Linked DNA regions of Oryctolagus cuniculus. The protein of the gene in region 1 purifies or fractionates together with the protein of each later gene. This does not show direct contact. Links are inferred from orthologs where the notes say so. Each region holds a gene or a part of one and is shown in the gene's direction. Other genes may lie near its edges. The genes, in order: ABCA1 and NR1H2.

Region 1 (3,798 bases):
CTTCTCTTGCCACTCACATGTCTCATTCTATTTTAATAAGGTAGAAGGAAGAGATGGAGATGGCTGGGATTGTGTATCCGTGAGCCAGCCTTGCTGCCTGCCTTGTCAGGGGGATTCATGTTTAAGGCTGTATCGGTTGGCACCAAGTCACTGCCCCAGAATGCTAAGTCTCTCCTGGCTCCTGACTGTGGGTGGAGAAGCAATGGCTCTGCCTACTGGGCTTTTTTGTTAAGCTCTTTCTGCCTACTGTGGCTTCCTTCCATTGTTAATAGGCCCTTCTTCTGCTGATTTCCTCTGTGTCCTTCCTTCATTTGGAAGCGATATCTTAGTGAGCTCACTTGCCCCCTGTTCCAGCTCCTTTTTAGTCTCCTGGATCTGCTCACAGTTGCTGGAGCATGTGTTTCTGTGCATTTAGTCTGTGCAGTTTTATCACAGGTGTTGATTCATGTAATCAGTAGCTCAATCAAGATTCAGGCCTATTGCAGCATCCAAAGTTCACTCATGCTACTGTTTCATAGCCAGAGGCATTTCCCTTCTCCCAGTCTCTGACATCGGATAACCACTATTTTTTTTCTCCATTTCTATAATTTTATTATTTCTAGAATGTTCCGTAAAAGGAACCATATAGTAGGTAGCCTGTTGATTTTTTTTTAACTTAGTATAATTTCCATGTGATTCATCCAAGTTGTGGTGTGTATCACCAGTTCATTCCTTTCATTGCAAAGTAGTATTCCCTGGTGTGGGTGTTCCAGTTTGTGGCATTTTTAGATGTGTTTTTAAGCATCTATTATCATCCTATATTTTTTCAAGTCTTCCTTCCTCTCCAAAAGTCTACAGTGCAGACACTTTTATTATTGTGTTCCAGTCACCAATATCTCTGCCCAAATTGGTCCTCACACGTGTGTATAGCCTCTTGCCTGCCGGTGAGTTCAGAGTGGTCTTGAAGAGAAAACAGTACTGTAGGTAGAAGCACAGCGCCCAGGTCTTCACACCCCACTCAGTCAGTAGTCTCTGTGGGTTCACCCTTCTCTCTTCTCACAGTTTGCATGGAAGAGGAGCCCACCCACTTGAAGCTGGGCGTGTCCATCCAGAACCTGGTGAAGGTTTACCGAGATGGCATGAAAGTGGCTGTTGATGGCTTGGCATTGAATTTTTATGAGGGCCAGATCACCTCCTTCCTGGGTCACAATGGAGCGGGGAAGACCACCACCATGTAAGAAGAGGGGTGACTCACAGAATCACAGTGTGGTTTCCACCTAAGGAAATTGTCTGGGTCACTGGGGCAAGGGCAAAACACAGGAGATGATGGATGTAAAATCATTATCTAACCAGGAGGCTGCACTCAGAGTGCAAGATTTTACTAGATGTCAATCGTCAGCCCGAATCAGGGGGATCCTTTGTATGACTTTCCCATGTAGTTCTTGGTATTCTGTAGTGTTCTAGGACTCTGGGGCCATGACTGCTCTGAGGAAGGGTCTCCTTTTGAGCTGGTTTGGTCAGAACTGTAAAGTGAGAATCTGGAAAGAAAGGTTGGATATGTTAGAGGGGGGTGGCAATTTCCAGAAAGTGTCTAAGCATATGTGAGAAGCATCTGGACAGCTGGCTTTGGTTGCCATGCCTGGGATCTACAAGGATCTTACCATGACAGCCTTGGATGGGACAAAAGCCATAAAGCCCCAGAGGTAGCCTCAGTGGTTTTCAGTGTGTTTCCTCAACCCTTCCAGAGGTTGTGTCTTTAGATAGGATACTCTTTTCCTGTTTTTCTTTTATCTTTTTGTTTAATATAAATCAAAATATTACGAACATGGTAGAACAATTTTAAAAGGCATTCCAGAATCTTACCATCTAACACAAACTTTGTTTTTTTCTTTGAATAACTTGTTCTGGTTTGTCAATTTTTTGTGGGCATGATGTTAAATATATAAGACATTTTTTAAAGTATACTTTCCAGTGCAGATTGGATACTTTGTTTTAAAAATGCTTATGCCAAAATTGCCATTCCTGACACATAGGCCTGATTCTAGTTATTCCTTAACATCGAGCAATTTTTTGCCTTGTTGGGGGAGGGGGTCTGTTGGGGTCTGTTAGATAGGAATTAGGGGGTGGGAGGGTTGGTGCCCTCTGTTCTCTCTGCCTGGCTATGCAGCATCTAGAGGAGAGGGTGGGTCAGCCCTGACTCCTATACTGTTTGGTTTCTAACCTCAGGTCCATCCTGACTGGGTTGTTCCCTCCCACCTCGGGCACCGCCTACATCCTGGGGAAGGACATTCGCTCGGAGATGAGCACCATCCGGCAGAACCTGGGAGTCTGTCCCCAGCACAATGTGCTGTTTGACATGTGAGTACCAGGCCCTTTCTGGATGTGTGTGTCATGAAGTCGTGGGTGCAAGGGACTTAAGCATTTCTCCTTCTTTGGGGATGGCAGGTCTTGCCTCCCTAGACATGTGAGGCCTAGTTGTCCCTTGATTTTAGGAAAAGTGGAGTGAGTTTCTGGATGATAGATACTGCACAAGTCCAGCCAGCAGATGGGGGCTTGGAAGCAGTACTCTCCATCATTGGCATTCTGAAGGGTCCCTTGGCCCACATCTTCCCCAATGGCCTCAGGGCACCTTCTTACAGTGGCCCTGTGTTTCTTGCTCAAGACATTTGTTCCCACTCAGATTGTCTCATTAGGAAGTAGGGCCTCCAGGAAGCCCCAATATTAAAGTAGAGGAAGACCTGTGCTCTGACCTTGGGTGAGTCCTTTCCTCCTTGTGAGCCTCAGCTTCTGCTGACCAGATTTGAGCATCGTGGGCTCACAAGAGTCCCTGAGGGCCTCCCTTCTTTGAGTCTCCGTTTCCTTGAGGCCAGGAGGGCCAGTCCACGTTAATTCCAGGCCAACATCTTGGTTGACTTGGGTTACAGGAAAGCTCTTTGAGGACCACACATTGGGAGTCTGAAATTTAACTTTGGAATTGTCCGGTAGCTGGGGCAAGGCTCGCTGGGGACCAGTTGGAAGGGATCTGTCCCATTCCTGAGCAGCTCAGGTTTGTTGCTGTGGTTCTGCCTTGAAGTCTAAAGATCACTTTTCAGTGATTGGTAAAATATTTTTTAAAAGGTGGAGGGGGAGAAAAAAAAACGTAGCCATTCTCTTTTGCTCTGGTCAGGAGACACTATATTCTGGTGCATCCTGCAGGGCCCAGAGCTGACCTGCCCCTCTATCCCCAGGCTGACTGTGGAAGAGCATATCTGGTTCTACGCCCGCCTCAAAGGGCTCTCCGAGAAGCACGTGAAAGCAGAGATGGAGCAGATGGCCCTGGATGTTGGTTTGCCACCCAGCAAGCTGAAGAGCAAAACAAGTCAGTTGTCAGGTAAGCCTGCAGCTACTTTCTCCTTTCTCCCTCCCCTCTGCCTCCAAGTGGGCGCACACACAGGAGGCACCGCTCTCCCAGCGTCCTGGGCTGGGTGAGTGGGGAATAGAAACTGGTCCCTGGCTATGTCCCCAGGTGGGTGCTTCCACCTGTCTCTCATCACCTCCACTTCACTCACCATCTGGGGCTGGTCCTGGAGCCTGTCTATTTCTTACAGGTGGAATGCAGAGAAAACTCTCTGTGGCATTGGCCTTTGTCGGGGGATCCAAGGTTGTCATTCTGGACGAGCCCACAGCTGGTGTGGACCCTTATTCCCGCAGGGGAATATGGGAACTGTTGCTGAAATACCGACAAGGTAACTGTCCTGCATGTCTTCCAAGTCACAGACTGGGCAGGGTTGAGGTGGTTGACAACTACGGCTGGATCTCAGGGCTCTTCTTGCTAGGACA
Region 2 (4,436 bases), on another chromosome or scaffold:
AGCCAGCACCCCCATGGGATGCCGGCGCTGCACACGGCGGCTTAGCCCGCTGCCAAGGCGTGGGCCATTCACCAAACCCTACTCGTGCCGCCCGTTTCCCCATTGGAATGCAACTCTCACAGGGGGAGGGGTCTAGGTCCAGGGGGAGGGGTCTTGGTCCAGTTGAGTTCATTGCTACCCGGGTCCTCAGCACCTGGGAGAGCACCTGCCACACAGCAGACCCTCGCCAATGTCGGCTCGGAGCCTCCTTCGGCACAGCCTGCCCTGGGCAGGATCGACGACCCTCCCCGCCGCCCCCCACCCCGACTCGCTCGGGCCCAGGTCGCGTCGCCCCGCGCCCCGCACCCAGGGGTCATTTCTCGGAGGCCTTGTCTGCAAAACCGCAGGCGGCCGCACGGTGGCGGTGTGCACCCGCGTTCCCGCCACGGGTCCCGCCATGCCGGGCGCCGAGGCCGCGGGCAGCTCCCCGACCGGTGCCGCGGGAGAACAAGGGCTGGCTCCCCGCCTGCCCCTGCCCGCGCTCGCCGAGACAAGGCCTCCGGCACACGGCGGATTGGGACCAGATTGAGGCTCCACACACAGCCTCCTACAAGCCCCTGGTACTTTTGCTCCCTTTCCATTGGCTGGACCCCGTCACGTGACCAGCAGGCCGCGTGGGCCGCTGGGGAATGTAGTTCGGCTGTGTGTCGGGCCTCGTGTGTGAACCTCGGTCAGCGTCCATCGCGCGTGGCCCACGAGGCCTGCTGCGAGGTCCGATGGCAGAGCCGGCGCGGCCCGAAGGCTCAGGGATGCCGGGCAGCATCTCCCCGAGCCGCCACGCCCCGGCTGAGGAGCCACGGCCCCCCAGCCCCAGGCTTTCGGAAACGCCTGGTTCGCCCGCACAGCCCGGGCAGAGGAGACGCAGGGGCTCCCCTGCGAGCCGGCCTGGCTCAGGGCAGAGCACCGAGCTCGTCCGCAGCCGGAATCCGGGCGCCGAGCGCCCAGCCCGCCCCGTCCACGCGCCCCGCGGGGAACGTGCCACAGCCAACACTTTACTTTGACCCTTGTGGTCTGGAGAGCCTGGACTTTTACAAACGCTTCCAGCAGCAAAGTTAGGGTTTGCCGCATACGTTTTCCCGGCCCAAGTTCGTATTTCAGCTCATTGAAAACCCCGAAGCTGCCAGCCCACAAACTCCGCAAACGTGCACTGCGTGTTTTCACCAGTCACGGGGAGGGACGCTGCCGCTGCTGGGGGTGTCTGCGGACCCGGCTCTCCGGCCGCAGGACCAAGGATGGGCGCGATAGGCCAACCGCGCGGTCCGGGGCCGGCCACGCCACGCCGGACCGCGGTCCCCCACAACTCCCCGGAACTCTTCTTCCGCACCCCCCAGCGGAGCCACACGGCGGCGCACACTTCCGGCGAGCGCACCACTTCCGTGCGGGGCGGCCGACTCGGCCGGCCCCCAGCGGACCGGAAGTCCGTCACCCTTCGCGCCCCACCCCTTCCGGAAGTGACGCATGGCGGGGTTGCCGGAAGAAGTGGCGAAGTTACTTTTGAGGGGACTCTGGTGGCGGCGGCGTGTCAGGGGCTACGGCCCCGGAGGAAGAGGAGCCGAGTAAGGGGGCGGAGACAGGAGCACTGGGAGTGGGGAGACGCAGGAGGAGCCCCCAGCAGCTCCGACGAACCCCCTTCTCTCTTCCCTCCGCTCCCCTCCGTAGCTTGCGCATCCCCCGGCTGTTTCCAGGGCAACGGGAGGAGACCCCCCCACGCGAGAGGCCGCCCACAAGTCCCCGCGCGCAGCCATGAGCCCCGCCCCCCACTGGTGCTCGGAGAGGGGCGGGACCTGGAGCGAGGTGATGGGGCGGGGCTTGCGGGAGGGGCGGGGGCGGGGCTAGGTGTTGTGGTGGGCGGGGCCTGAGAAAAATCAGAATGAGAGACGGAGTTGGGTTGGGGGGAGGTGTGCTAAGAGCAGGTGGGCTGTGACTGACGGGCAGAGTGAGCCCCAAGGAGAATGGACAGTGATGGGCGAGCAGGTGGGTGGGGCCTGGGGCGGGGCCTGTAAAGGGGGCGGGACTTAAGGCCACACTGCAAGTTGGAGCATGGGTGGGAAGCGTCTGGCGGCCGGCTGGGGCTGGGGTCCCTGTGCAGTAGTCGGAGCCTGGGGGAGCTGGAATAAAGGGGCCCCCTCATCAGAACCCGCAGCTGGCCTGACCCAGTCCTGCGTTGCCCCCCTGTGTTGTGCAGGCTGCTCCGTGACCCCACCATGTCCTCCCCCACCACGACCTCCTTGGACACTGCCCCGCCTGGTGAGTGGCCCTGTGCCTCGCCCAGCCCCGGTCGGAGCAGCCGCACGGCCGGAGGAGCTCACCGCGCCGCGTCTCCCCGTCCCCCAGGAGATGGCCCCGCGCAGCCCGGCACCTCCTCCCCCTCGCCCGCCGTGAAGGAAGAGGGTCCCGAGCCCTGGCCCGAGGCCGCGGACCCTGCTGTGCCAGGCAGCGATGAGGCCGGCTCAGCCTGCGTCGTGGGTGAGACGGGGCCCGGGACGGCTGTGGGCAGCAGGGCAGAGGGAGGCCCTGCCTCGCTTCTTTGGGGCGCACGCGCCGCCCGCTCCTTGCGGCCCCTCACCGCCTTGTCCGCCCGCCCGCCCGCCCAGTCGCCGTGGAGCCGGAGGAGGAGCCGGAGCGCAAGCGGAAGAAGGGCCCGGCGCCGAAGATGCTGGGCCACGAGCTGTGCCGCGTGTGCGGGGACAAGGCCTCGGGCTTCCACTACAACGTGCTCAGCTGCGAGGGCTGCAAGGGCTTCTTCCGGCGCAGCGTGGTCCACGGCGGCGCCGGCCGCTACGCCTGCCGCGGCGGCGGCGCCTGCCAGATGGACGCCTTCATGCGGCGCAAGTGCCAGCTGTGCCGGCTGCGCAAATGCAAGGAGGCCGGGATGCGGGAGCAGTGTGAGTGCGGGTGGGGAGGGTCGGCCAAGCCCCGCCCCGCCCCGCCCACGCCCCCTCGGTCACGCCCCTGCCCCGTCCACATCCCCCGGCCTTCGCTAGTGCGAGGCACCGGGATGCGGGAGCAGTGTGCAGGGTGGGGAGGGCTCGGCCCGACCAGGCCAAGGCCTGGCCACCTCCCCAGACCGGCCACACCCCAACCGCCCTGGCCACGCCCCGATCCCCGGTCGGCCCCGGCCCTCTCATGCCCTGTCCCCGCCTCCGACAGGCCACGCCCCGCTGGCCACGCCCCCAACCCTTGCAAATTCAAGGAGGCCAGGATGCTGGAGTAGTGTGGGGGCGGGGCGCTACCCCATCCCCAACTGTGCCGGCCTTGGCCTTACCCCGAACCTGGCCACACCCCGACCCGCCCAGCCGGTCATCCCCGCCCGGCCACGCCCCCGCCCGGCCACGCCCCCGCCGGCTGAGCGCTGGCTCCGTTCCAGGCGTCCTCTCTGAGGAGCAGATCCGGAAGAAGAAGATTCGGAGGCAGCAGCAGCAGCAGCCGGTGCCTGGGGAGCCGGGGGGCAGCAGCGGCTCGGCCGGCGCGCCGGGGGCGTCCCCCGGGGGTGCGGAAGCCAGCGGCCAGGGCTGCGGCGAAGGCGAGGGCGTCCAGCTCACAGCGGCCCAGGAGCTGATGATCCAGCAGTTGGTGGCCGCCCAGCTGCAGTGCAACAAGCGCTCCTTCTCTGACCAGCCCAAAGTCACGGTACTGCCCGCCCAGCCTCGGGCGGCCGGGCCGGGAGGCGGAGGCCGCGGGCTTGGCCTCGGGGTCAGCGCCGGGGTCCTGGCGTGACCGGTCTCCCGTGTCGCAGCCCTGGCCCCTGGGCGCGGACCCCCAGTCCCGCGACGCCCGGCAGCAGCGCTTCGCCCACTTCACGGAGCTGGCCATCATCTCGGTGCAGGAGATCGTGGACTTCGCCAAGCAGGTGCCCGGCTTCCTGCAGCTGGGCCGCGAGGACCAGATCGCGCTCCTGAAGGCGTCCACCATCGAGGTAACAGCCAGTGCCAGGCCCGAGCCCCGGGCAGCGCCGCACAGGGGCCGGGAGTCCGGGGCAGCACCCGCACAGGGCCCGGGAGCCCGGGGCAGCGCCCGCGCAGGGCCCGGGAGCCCGGGGCAGCACCCGCAGAGGGGCCGGGAGCCCGGGGCAGCACCCGCAGAGGGGCTGGGAGTCCGGGACAGCACCCGCACAGGGCCCGGGAGCCCGGGGCAGCGCCGCACAGGAGCCGGGAGTCCAGGGCAGCACCCGCACAGGGGCTGGGAGTCCAGGGTAGCACCCACACAGGGACCGGGAGCCCTGGGGCTGCGCCCGCACAGGAGCCGGGAGTCCAGGGCAGCACCCGCACAGGGGCTGGGAGTCCAGGGTAGCACCCACACAGGGACCGGGAGCCCTGGGGCTGCGCCCGCACAGGGGCCGGGAGTCCAGGGCAGCACCCGCACAGGGGCCGGGAGCCGAGTGAGCAGAGAGTCCCAGG

The links.
Region 2: the proteins of ABCA1 (region 1) and NR1H2 purify together in Homo sapiens (affinity purification with western blotting; 3 studies listed by BioGRID and IntAct, with this or other methods). This does not show direct contact. The link is inferred for Oryctolagus cuniculus from reciprocal best matches to the Homo sapiens genes ABCA1 and NR1H2.

Annotation. Positions count from the first base shown.
Region 1 is NC_091432.1:208,665,025-208,668,822, reverse strand, and holds part of ABCA1 (phospholipid-transporting ATPase ABCA1), read left to right. Parts: intron 1-1,041; coding exon 1,042-1,213; intron 1,214-2,205; coding exon 2,206-2,337; intron 2,338-3,206; coding exon 3,207-3,349; intron 3,350-3,566; coding exon 3,567-3,704; intron 3,705-3,798. UniProt on the Homo sapiens protein: Catalyzes the translocation of specific phospholipids from the cytoplasmic to the extracellular/lumenal leaflet of membrane coupled to the hydrolysis of ATP.
Region 2 is NC_091449.1:7,476,707-7,481,142, reverse strand, and holds the start of NR1H2 (oxysterols receptor LXR-beta), read left to right. Parts: upstream 1-1,440; 5' UTR 1,441-1,595; intron 1,596-1,698; 5' UTR 1,699-1,833; intron 1,834-2,224; 5' UTR 2,225-2,243; coding exon 2,244-2,286; intron 2,287-2,373; coding exon 2,374-2,505; intron 2,506-2,633; coding exon 2,634-2,924; intron 2,925-3,406; coding exon 3,407-3,669; intron 3,670-3,775; coding exon 3,776-3,955; intron 3,956-4,436. UniProt on the Homo sapiens protein: Nuclear receptor that exhibits a ligand-dependent transcriptional activation activity. Binds preferentially to double-stranded oligonucleotide direct repeats having the consensus half-site sequence 5'-AGGTCA-3' and 4-nt spacing (DR-4).